3 linked regions of the Daphnia pulex genome follow. The protein of the gene in region 2 binds, or shares a complex with, the protein of the main gene of each other region. Links are inferred from orthologs where the notes say so. Each region holds a gene or a part of one and is shown on either strand. Other genes may lie near its edges.

Region 1 (2,883 bases), about 6.8 Mb from region 2:
GCCTTAGATCCAATTGGATCACAATTGTTGAGAATCATCCACACTAATTCCTGTGTCCACGTCGTTCCTAAGTAAACAAATTCAAAGTTATCAATTTTATATGTGCGGGAGAATACGAAAAGTTAACACTTTCAAGATCCGAGAGATTTGTATTTGTTTGTTTCAAACTATGTGTTTTAAAATAGGCGGGGAGAAATACAAGGTTGCCATTTGGCTACTAGACTTTCAAGGCTACGGCCAAAAAAATTGATGACAAAGAAATAAATTGTGACGTAATAGCAGTAATTGCTAAACAAATACCACTAGGATATTTATTTTTACGAATTATTATTTTATAAAAATGTAGCTATTACATAAAAAAAATCTTAAAAATGATTGAAAAAGGATTTTACCGCATTTTGGAAAGGTTACTACCCAAACGTCGTCGCTTCTTGGTTGAAAACGTGAAATTTCTTTGGCATGGCGTGCATACTCATCCGTTAAGAGAAAACCACCAGGTTCGCTCTTCATCAGTCCATGCTGCTCGTAGTTTGTGAAGTGTTCTTTCAAGTCTCCATTCACTTCTACAGGATTGAATTTTATGTTCCACTCTGGAACAACTTCGGGAGGAACTGAAGGATTTTCGGGGTTTGTCATCGTGCGAGAGCTCAGACAACAAATGAAAACGCAACGGCAAAAAGGATCGAACAAAGACCGCGACGACTGAATGACACCGTGGCCTCCTTTTTTATACTCAACAGCGACTCAGCGAGTGCCACATCAAATTTTAACGATTTGGTTTTCGTCGTTAAATCAAATGCAAAATTATTAAATCCACGTAAATATGTATTACAATATCAGATATTTGATAATATTTATTTAAATATTTTACAACGACCCAACGAGCAAAAGAAAAATATACTTCTCTAACAACATAATTTTGATTTCGAAAATGTTATGCTGTAATCGATTACAAAAATTCTCAATTTGGCATACATAAGCATTACTCAATTTCTAAAACATTACATAAAAAAATGAGAATATAAATACATTAAAGAGCAGGCAGTGAGGCAGCAGAGAGCAGGTCCGCGGACGGCGGACCGCTAGCGGCTAGCCGTTTACAGGTGGTGGATGAAAGTAAATCTGGCAACGGTTACGAGTTGCGACACCATTTCATGTTGACAAGCCGAGAAACGAGTTGTATCAAACTGAAACTGAAACATTGAATTGATCTCGTTTTTTTGAGAAATACGCCAGAAACATTAAGGTAATTAGAGAGTACTTGTGCATATCTTGTTTTATTTCGTTTGGATCGCCATGGTAAAGCACAACGAAGACGAGAGGAGTCCCAAAAGGTCCCACGAACGAGGCCATGAAAGAGGCAAGACTCACAGACGTCGTGAAGAACGTGACTCTTCCCCACCACGAAAATCTTCACGAAGCGACCATTACCATTCAAGAAGTGATGACTATGAAAGAAGTCGGAAATCAGACAGCAGGAGACATGATTCACAAGTTTCACACAAAGAAAGTAATCGAAGAAATGACCCACCAATTCCAGTTAAAATCAAGAAAGAACCAGTTAGTGATGATGAACAAAGTTTCAGACGTCCACAACACAATGAAGGGCCTTCAAGACGGCATGAGCAACCACATTCAGAAGATCGACCACCAAGACCTTTTAAGCAGAGACGCAAAAGCCCCCGAAGTGAAGATGCTGAAGCAGCCAACTACCAGTATGGCCAACAAGTTAAAGATGAAGAAGAAGAAGGAACACTCGTTGAAAAGCAAAAACCCAACTTTGGTCTATCAGGAAAATTGACTGAAGAGAAGAATGTTTTCAATGGTGTGGTGGTCAAATACAGTGAACCACCTGAAGCCAGAATTCCCAAGCGACGGTGGCGTTTTTACGTCTTTAAAGGGGAAGAGGCATTGCCTACGTTGTACCTTCACCGTCAAAGCGCCTACTTAATCGGAAGAGATCGTAAAGTTGCTGATATTCCAATCGACCATCCCTCTTGCTCGAAACAGCACGCTGCGATCCAATTTCGGTTGGTAAACTACGAACGGCCTGATGGAACTGCAGGACGTACTGTCCGGCCATATATTATTGATCTGGAAGCAGCCAATGGTACTTTTGTAAATAATCAAAAAATTGAATCCAAACGTTACGTCGAATTGTTCGAGAAGGATGTGGTGAAGTTTGGCTTCAGTTCCCGCGAATATGTTCTCCTTCATGAAGAAAGCAAAACAGATGCTAGTTTGGACGATATGGGAGTGGGGCAGTGACACGTTGGTGACCAGCAATGTTTTGTATCATAACAATTTTCTTTTTTGAACGCCGCAATACACTTAATGTTTCTGCGAAAGGTATTCAATCGTCTTTAAGTGTTCTTTCATTTCATTTCCAGGTTTCACACATCAGTGGGGCTGTTCATGTTATTCGTAAGTTGTCACGTTAATTCAAATTTATAACTAAAGCAATTTTTACAACCAGTTGGTAACAGGTAACCAAAATTGCTGGTGTCATGAGACCTGTGGAACGACTGCTGGCCTCCTCAGCAAGACCGCCCAACATTCTAATATGTACGAGTGACAAAGAAGTTTTTCAGCAATATCGAGCCCTCTTTGAATCCACACTAGAGCCGGATTGGTATATAAACAGTATAGACATTTGATATCTGGATTCTTGATCTTAAACAATGTAACATTGATTGACAGTTATGCCCTTTACCATCTCGATGAACTCTCATTTCGTTCTAAAAAAGCTTGGCTAAGCAACACAAGCCTCCTAGTACTTGCTTCTCGATGGTCTGATAATGACTTGCACGATCCGCTGGAAGAGTACATCAAGAAGGGTGGTCAATGTCTTTCCCTACACCCTTTTTCTCCAAAATGGCTGAA
Region 2 (3,757 bases):
CCATCACTTGCCAACTGATGGCATCTGTGAAAAGTAAATGGGCAAACATTTTGGCTACATTGCGAAGCTTGTTAGTATCCAGCCGATGAATTGTGTCGTATGTATCATGAAATATTTGCTCGAATGGTGGTATGTATGCCTTATTAATCTGGCAAAATCTCTAATACACCGAAAAGAAAATTGATATACTTGAATAGTTTTTTATTTAATAAGAAATCGTACCTGGGCTAAAAGGCCGAAAAATTTTTCATACGTCCTTTGTTGGGTGCAGCAATCCAAGATCATATGGCATAACTCAGTTTCTTGTCCAGGTTTCATTTGCATTTTCATCATTTTATGGGCACATTCATTGTGATCTAAACTGCTCTGAATAGTAAGGTAAATAACGCGTCGAAGAGCAATAAGGTTTGTCTCCGTCTCGTCAACAATATCGCCTTGTTCTAAAAAAACAAAATTAAAAACATACAAATTGAATCGACCCAAGTAAAAGTATATGCTATTCTTACCTTTTGCTTCCTCCTCCGAAGCACTATCTCCATCAGATTCATCATTTTCTTCTCCAGAACCGTCTGATTCGCCCGAATTATCTCCAATAATTTCTGTTTTGACAGCTTGGTACTTTTCTTCGTTGGCTTCATAATCCGGGTCGTGCTTGAAAACATCTACAAAAATACGCGAAACAGTTAGTGGTATCAAAGTGGAGATAGACATATAAAATCTACTATTAACAGTTTAAGAAAAGCACGGAACTTGGGGCTCATTACAGTCAAAGATTATTTTAAAAATAAATAAAAATTTAAGCCCAGTAAACTAACTTGGTAGATTGAGGAATACAGATATTTTTTAAATCCATTAATAGCAACTTATTACTCAACATATCCTGGGGATCCAATTCTTCTTCTTGTATCGACATCAAATGAGTGAATTGATCTTCTTCTTCCACCAAATCCAAATCTTCCACGATAGCAGGGTTGTCCTTAAAGCCATCCTTTCGTACTTGAAACATTACTTCAATCATGTACTTCACGCGTTTGTCTAAGTCAGCTTCGTGTAAAACATGACGGAGGCGATCGAAGACAGCAGTTAATCCTCGAGGGGAGACTTCACCTAACTTTTGACCACATTCTTTCAAAAATCCAACCGCGACTTCAACTGAATCATCAGTTGCATTTTCTAACAGAAGAGTTAAAATTTCTAGAGCCAAAAGCTCATGTGCCTAAAATACCAAGAAAAATTTTCAGTGCATTTGAAAAACAAAACATGAGAGCAAAATTTCAATATTACCACTTGTTGGTTCACCAGATGTGCTATGAATCTTGTCGAACTCATACATATTTGTTTGTCATTTCGACGAAACCCACGGCGAAATTGAAGAATAAGGCGAGATAATAGCAGTTCACCTATGTTAGGAAACTGAAACATCAACAAATGTGATGTGAATTAAATTAAATACATGAATTAATATAAATCACGTTTATACTTTGGAATTGATTAATGCAGCAAGGGCTGCATAGACATGTGTAAATGTTGGTGATGCAGCTTGTGCCTGAATGATGGACCTAGTTAGAAGACCACGTCCCCTAACAATATTTTCTTTGAACAAGGATGTTATAATCAATGGGATATTTGACACATTGACTTTATTGATTAATCCATGAATGGATTTTTTGAGAGCCTCCCAAGATAAACGCTGAAAAGCTAAGCTTGACTTGTCAGTTATTTGGGCTTGCATCATTCTTAACTTGGCAGGAGGAATGTAAGCTCCTCCGGTTCGTGTCAGCACTGGATCCATTTCTTTAACTCTCTTAGGCTCTTTAGTATCCTCTTCATTTAAAGGACCTTGTTCACTAGTTTTTCTGTCATCCTTTTTCAATTGATTTTCTCTTTTTCTTGAATGTTGATCTTGTTCTCTTGAATGTTGTGTGTAGTTATCTCTAGGGCCTTCATCTCCCCAATAGCGTGTGCCTATTTCATAGTTTTTTTTCCTGATAAAAAAATGAATATGAAGTAAATTAATTTGTTACTTGTAACACTTTTGGTACAGTTGTCTACCTTTCTCTTCTGTATTCCTCCTCTGAACTATACCGTCGTTTCCGAATATTGCTATCGGGCTTTGCTGGAGCTTTTTCGTCTCGTTCATCTTCCAAATCATCGTCGACTTCTTCTAAGAAATTTACGGGTAAACCAACAGCTTTGACGACACTTTCCATCTGAAGGATTATTGTGACAGATGAAGGGAAATTAATTTGAAAATATCACTTAACAGATGTTATACTGTTTGGATGAATAGAAAATTGCAATCGCAACACGCTGAGAAACAACTGCTTTTTTACGTTTGCTTCCTTGGCTTAATGCCTATTGCCATATTGCGGTATTGCCGTTTGCTTACAATTCTACCACTAATGCGCCACCTGCGTTTGGGCAGCTTGTTCGATTTCATTGGTTGTCGGCTTGTCGCCTTATGCCTTATCGGGTTTATCGCAAAGGCAGGCAAAGAGACAAACGTGACAAAAAATAAGAATTAAGAATCTTCTTGTAATCAACCACTTCCTCATTAATGAAAATTTGTTTAAAATTTATTGGAAAAGGAATAATTGAATAAATATTCTGCCCCGAGCAGCGAGCAACCATCAAATACTTTTTGGACTTTTTCGATAACTTGTTTAAATTGTTTATCAGCTTTGTGGCAGCGTTAAGCGCTGAGCCTTCTCAGGTCTTCGTATTTCGTGTAGAATTTTTAAAATAGTTACTGGTGAAATCAGAGTTATAAAGGATCGTTAAAAGAATAATTATTTCAATTTTTGAAATATTTTCGCATGTTTTCGCTAGTCCTGCGAGTTCCTAGTTTTAAAATAGGTATTACTAACCGCTATGAAACAATAAAAACAGGCAGCCACGAAGATTTGTTAAAGAGATTTCATACTTTCAATTGAAATTATGTGGTAAAAAATCATTAAGCATTTTTTCTAAAAGTCGAATCCGTCTGAAACCACTGTTTAGAGGAATGAATGAGCTGGCAACATGTCAAAGATGTCAGCGCCCACGGTTTAATAGGGAGGGCGCATTTGACAAGGGGCCTGCCTACCGCTAACATTTGTTTGCCACTCCTCCATGCAGTTTATCCTATGTGTATAGAAGAATTTCAAAAAGCTCCGCGAAGGAGTTCGTGCCTCTTGTGATCGTAGTAAGATAACAAAAAAACAAAAAAAAAAATGCGCAGAGTGCTTGGGATACACTCATCGTGCATCGTGATATGTTCTAATTTTGTATTTGTTTCCTCTTCAGATAAACAATAAAAATTTTAAAACGCCGGAGAGAAGACGTCATGGACGTCGAAGACGAAAATATCAGCACGTTAATGGCCATGGGATTTCCGGACATCGGAGAAATCAAACGAGCTTTACGTTTAGCCAAGAATGATCTAAATGAAGCAGTTGCTATCCTCACCAATGATCAGTCAGTGTCATCTTATGGACCTGTTGCTGACTTAAACATCGATGTTGACATGAAAGAGGTAGCTGGTGTTTCCAAAGGATCCAGCGAAGATGCTTCCGTGTCTGAAGTAAAGCCTATTTCATCTATTATGTCAATGTAAAGCATTTTTCAACACTTACATTTTTATCTCTTAGAGTGGAAATGATGGCTTCCCTGAAACCCACCTGTATGAATTAGAGTCTAGAGTATTTACAGATCAATGGTCTATTCCTTATAAAAAGGATGAAAGTTTGCATAAATGCTTAGCAGCTGCGACAAAACT
Region 3 (3,757 bases), on a different chromosome or scaffold from region 2:
CATCGAAAATAATAATAACAAGAGATGGGCTTCATCGAAATTGTTTTTTCCCGATGATGGCATCTATGGTGACGGATCACATCTCGTACGGGGGTTATTGCATACATGAATATGAATGGACCCGCAACAGAGGAGGTGAACGAACCACATGAGAGAGCCCTACGTCGTTGAAGGACACTTTGCTTTTATCAGTTAGTCCTGTGATACGTCCGGCAAACATCAACGTGATGTGGCCATCACTTTCTCTTTCATGTCATAGAAACCAACACGATATCAATGCAGGGCAAGGTAGATTACGTTCATGATTTACCTTTGTTCAAAGCCAGCCAAGGGTCGAATCAATAAATGAAGTTACCTCGTCTGCAAATGATATATCGATAAGCATGTCAGCAGACGGTTAGAGGACAAGGGTTGCTTAATAATCTACTGATAATAAATATACTACTACTAGCTGCAGCACACACACACACAATCTTCAAAGTGGGAAAAGCAACCAAATTGGTTAGTTTCTTGGCCTTGCGGTTGCACTGACCCTGGATCAACAATGCCCTATGGCGAAAAAGGCCGACTCTTTCACTCATCGTCAAAAAAAAGAAAAAATAAAACCGTAAACGTATATGAGAGACAAGGAGAGAAAAAGAAACGGTAATGGCTTCGTGGAAAGAATGTCAACGTGTATACGTAATGGCGTGAGAGTCTGAGAGAGACCTAGTGAAGTTGCTACACGGCCTGTGTGATGAAAGTCTCTTATCGATCCGGCTCACAGGCACATCTCACATCAGGGTTGTTGATAATGAAACTGATTTCTCTTTTAGCTTCTACCAACGTTTGATCGGTTCACCGACACCAAAAAATCTCAAGAGGGGTGAAATGGCCACACGCAACGTTTCTCATCAGATTTTACGAAAATGTGATTGTCGATGAGAATTTTCCCATCGAAAAACGATAATATCAAATAGGCTGGAAAAAACAATCTACAAAAGGTATGTACAAACGTAAAGGGGAGAGAACAAATGCCGTCGGTTTCACTTGATGCTGTAGACCTCTGGGCAGAGAGAAAACCAACCAAGACTGCCTTGAATGAGAAACTGAAAACAAGCCCCGACGAAAAGCCTGTCAACACACACCAAAACAGAATCGGCCAAACTTACCGGCCTCGCGATGAACTGGACGATCTCAATGAAAACAATACGTTCACAAACTAACTAATCACACCACTCCCACCGCTTTAGCAATACTCTCAGAGCACTTCGGTTTAAGAAACCGTTTTGACTGCAACTGCATCTCTCTCAGTGTGCCACCACAAAAAAAAATCATTTAAGATTCATCAGACTGCCATCTGGTGTTGATAGTGTGCACAAGCCTTTATTAAAAATTTAGGGCGCGTCGTGAACGCCATCTGCTGGTTTTCTGTGGTACCTCAATGAATATACGATTTGATCATGGCTTTTAGATTCGGCTTCATTTGGTCGTCGTTTACTCGCTTCACCCGTTTGGTTCTCTAACAAACTTGTTTTGCTATCGTGTTTCTTTCAAGGCAGTTTTAAATTAACGTAAAACTTCATCGTGTTTTACTTGGACGCGTCTATTTTGTCTATTGATTTGAAACACCCTTTTGATTGTGTGATTATTCTTTAGAAACAGAAAGTTATTTAGTTGAATTTGACATGGATCATCACATGCCGCCCGGCTACGGCCAGGAGAATTACATGTATGGAGATCCTTCAAGGTCCTTCCAGGGTAATGCTGTCGGTATGTATGGATCAGGTGCTAGACCGATGTCACCTCCTCCAGGTGATGAAGACATTCCCGCCCATGAACATCTCCCATCAGCACTTGAAGAAGTCCTTGCTTACAAAGAATACCGAGTACGAGAAACGGGCCACTCTGGAGAGGTTGATAACATTAGTGAGTAACACTTTTATAAATTTTCTAGTCTTCATGAAAGGTTTCGCTTGCAGGAATGAACTTTATTCTTTTCTATTTTTTTTTTAGTTAATGAAATCCCTGTCAAAACAGTTATAGAAACTGAAGGAACTATTGAAGAGAGGAAAGATGATTTCGGTGGGGAAGAAAACCTTGAAGAAAAAACTAAAACTCAAAGAAATCAAAAGAAGAAAAAGAAGAAGAAGCGCACTAAGAGACATCAACAGAAAGAAGAAGAAGAAGAAAATGAAAGGAATGATGATGCTGAAGAACCTCCACAAGTGGATATTGAGTATGTCCAGGAAGAAATCATTTATGACGACAAAAATCCTTTCTACCGACAGTTTGCCAAAATCTTCGAAGCATTTAAAATCATTGATGAAAAAACTGCAAAGAAAGCTGAAGAAGATGAAGCCAAAAAGAAAGAACTTCAAAGAAGTTTAGAACTTAAGAAGGTCCCCAAGTTTGCAGAAGAGGAAGATTTGGAGGAGAAAAAGGAAAATGCTGATGATGACAAGCCAAAAGTTTCAAAAAGAAAACTAAAACAACTTACTCGACTAAGTGTGGCCGATTTGAAGCAATGTGTTGCCAGACCAGACGTCGTAGAGATGCACGACGTTACTGCTAGAGACCCCAAACTGTTAGTTCTTTTGAAAGCAACCAGAAATTCGGTCCCAGTTCCTCGACATTGGTGTGCGAAGCGCAAGTACTTACAGGTATATTTTACTATGCACAAAGGGTAAACAATTCGTTTTAAACAAATTTTTTTGTACTTTAGGGAAAACGTGGAATAGAAAAGCCTCCTTTCAATTTGCCCGATTTCATCAAAAAGACCGGAATCATGGAAATGCGAGCTGCTTTGCAGGAAAAGGAAGAGTCAAAAACACTTAAAGCTAAAATGCGTGAGCGTGTTCGACCCAAGATGGGGCGTGTTGATATCGACTATCAAAAGTTGCATGACGCTTTCTTCAAATGGCAAACCAAACCCAAGATGACGATTATGGGTGATTTATACTATGAAGGAAAAGAATTTGAAACTCGAATGAAAGACAAAAAACCCGGAGAGTTGTCTGACGAACTGCGAACTGCTCTCGGAATGCCTGTTGGTCCTAGTTCAAACAAGTAAGAATCTATTCTTAATTTGACACCGTTTTGTGTTACAGTAGTTAATGTTAATGGCGTTTTCTTTAAGAATTCCTCCTCCTTGGTTGATTGCCATGCAAAGATATGGTCCACCACCGTCTTACCCTAACTTGAAGATTCCAGGATTGAACGCTCCAATTCCTGATGGTTCTTCCTTTGGCTACCATGCCGGAGGTTGGGGAAAACCTCCTGTCGATGAATTCGGGCGGCCTCTGTACGGCGATGTTTTTGGATTGACTGGAATCGCAGGCGATGTAAGAAAATATCTCATACTCTGTGTATAACAAATTCTATTAACCACGAATACTTTTGCCTCTTTTTCAGACAATTTTACTCGACGAAGAAGTTGATCGTACCTTGTGGGGTGAACTTGAATCGGAAGAAGAGGAGGAGGAAGTTGAGGAGAGTGAAGAGGAAGAAGGAGAGGACGAAGAAGGCGCCATTGATCAATCAGGTCTGGTTACTCCTGCAGAAGGACTTGCTACTCCTTCGGGATTCTCATCTGTACCTGCTGGTCTGGAAACACCAGATATGATTGAGCTACGAAAGAAAAAGATTGAAGCAGAGATGGAGAGGTATGTAACCAGTGTCAACTACTATACAACTGCTACTTTACATTTTTAATTATTCCTATTTTCACTCTTATTTAGTAACGAAACGCCTCAGCTGTATACCGTCCTTCCAGAAA

The links.
Region 1: pre-mRNA-splicing factor CWC22 homolog (region 2) and smad nuclear interacting protein 1-like share a complex: the UniProt entries of both Homo sapiens proteins name them as parts of the minor spliceosome. The link is inferred for Daphnia pulex from reciprocal best matches to the Homo sapiens genes CWC22 and SNIP1.
Region 3: pre-mRNA-splicing factor CWC22 homolog (region 2) and splicing factor 3B subunit 2-like share a complex: the UniProt entries of both Homo sapiens proteins name them as parts of the minor spliceosome. The link is inferred for Daphnia pulex from reciprocal best matches to the Homo sapiens genes CWC22 and SF3B2.

What each region holds. Positions count from the first base shown.
Region 1 is NC_060018.1:419,617-422,499, reverse strand, and holds smad nuclear interacting protein 1-like, read left to right. Parts: upstream 1-1,240; 5' UTR 1,241-1,296; coding exon 1,297-2,268; 3' UTR 2,269-2,352; downstream 2,353-2,883. Other genes in the region: sulfotransferase 1B1-like, read right to left, coding at 1-67, 393-636; biotin--protein ligase-like, read left to right, coding at 2,416-2,424, 2,487-2,632, 2,701-2,883. UniProt on the Homo sapiens protein: Required for pre-mRNA splicing as component of the spliceosome. As a component of the minor spliceosome, involved in the splicing of U12-type introns in pre-mRNAs. Down-regulates NF-kappa-B signaling by competing with RELA for CREBBP/EP300 binding.
Region 2 is NC_060018.1:7,249,361-7,253,117, reverse strand, and holds the start of pre-mRNA-splicing factor CWC22 homolog, read right to left. Parts: upstream 2,405-3,757; 5' UTR 2,276-2,404; exon of another isoform or gene 2,211-2,275; coding exon 2,053-2,210; intron 1,986-2,052; coding exon 1,481-1,985; intron 1,414-1,480; coding exon 1,285-1,413; intron 1,217-1,284; coding exon 871-1,216; intron 663-870; coding exon 223-662; intron 161-222; coding exon 1-160. Other genes in the region: ubiquitin carboxyl-terminal hydrolase 24-like, read left to right, coding at 3,326-3,562, 3,630-3,757. UniProt on the Homo sapiens protein: Required for pre-mRNA splicing as component of the spliceosome. As a component of the minor spliceosome, involved in the splicing of U12-type introns in pre-mRNAs. Promotes exon-junction complex (EJC) assembly.
Region 3 is NC_060020.1:5,124,891-5,128,647, forward strand, and holds the start of splicing factor 3B subunit 2-like, read left to right. Parts: upstream 1-1,427; 5' UTR 1,428-1,667; coding exon 1,668-1,908; intron 1,909-1,995; coding exon 1,996-2,642; intron 2,643-2,704; coding exon 2,705-3,048; intron 3,049-3,118; coding exon 3,119-3,323; intron 3,324-3,393; coding exon 3,394-3,644; intron 3,645-3,719; coding exon 3,720-3,757. UniProt on the Homo sapiens protein: Component of the 17S U2 SnRNP complex of the spliceosome, a large ribonucleoprotein complex that removes introns from transcribed pre-mRNAs.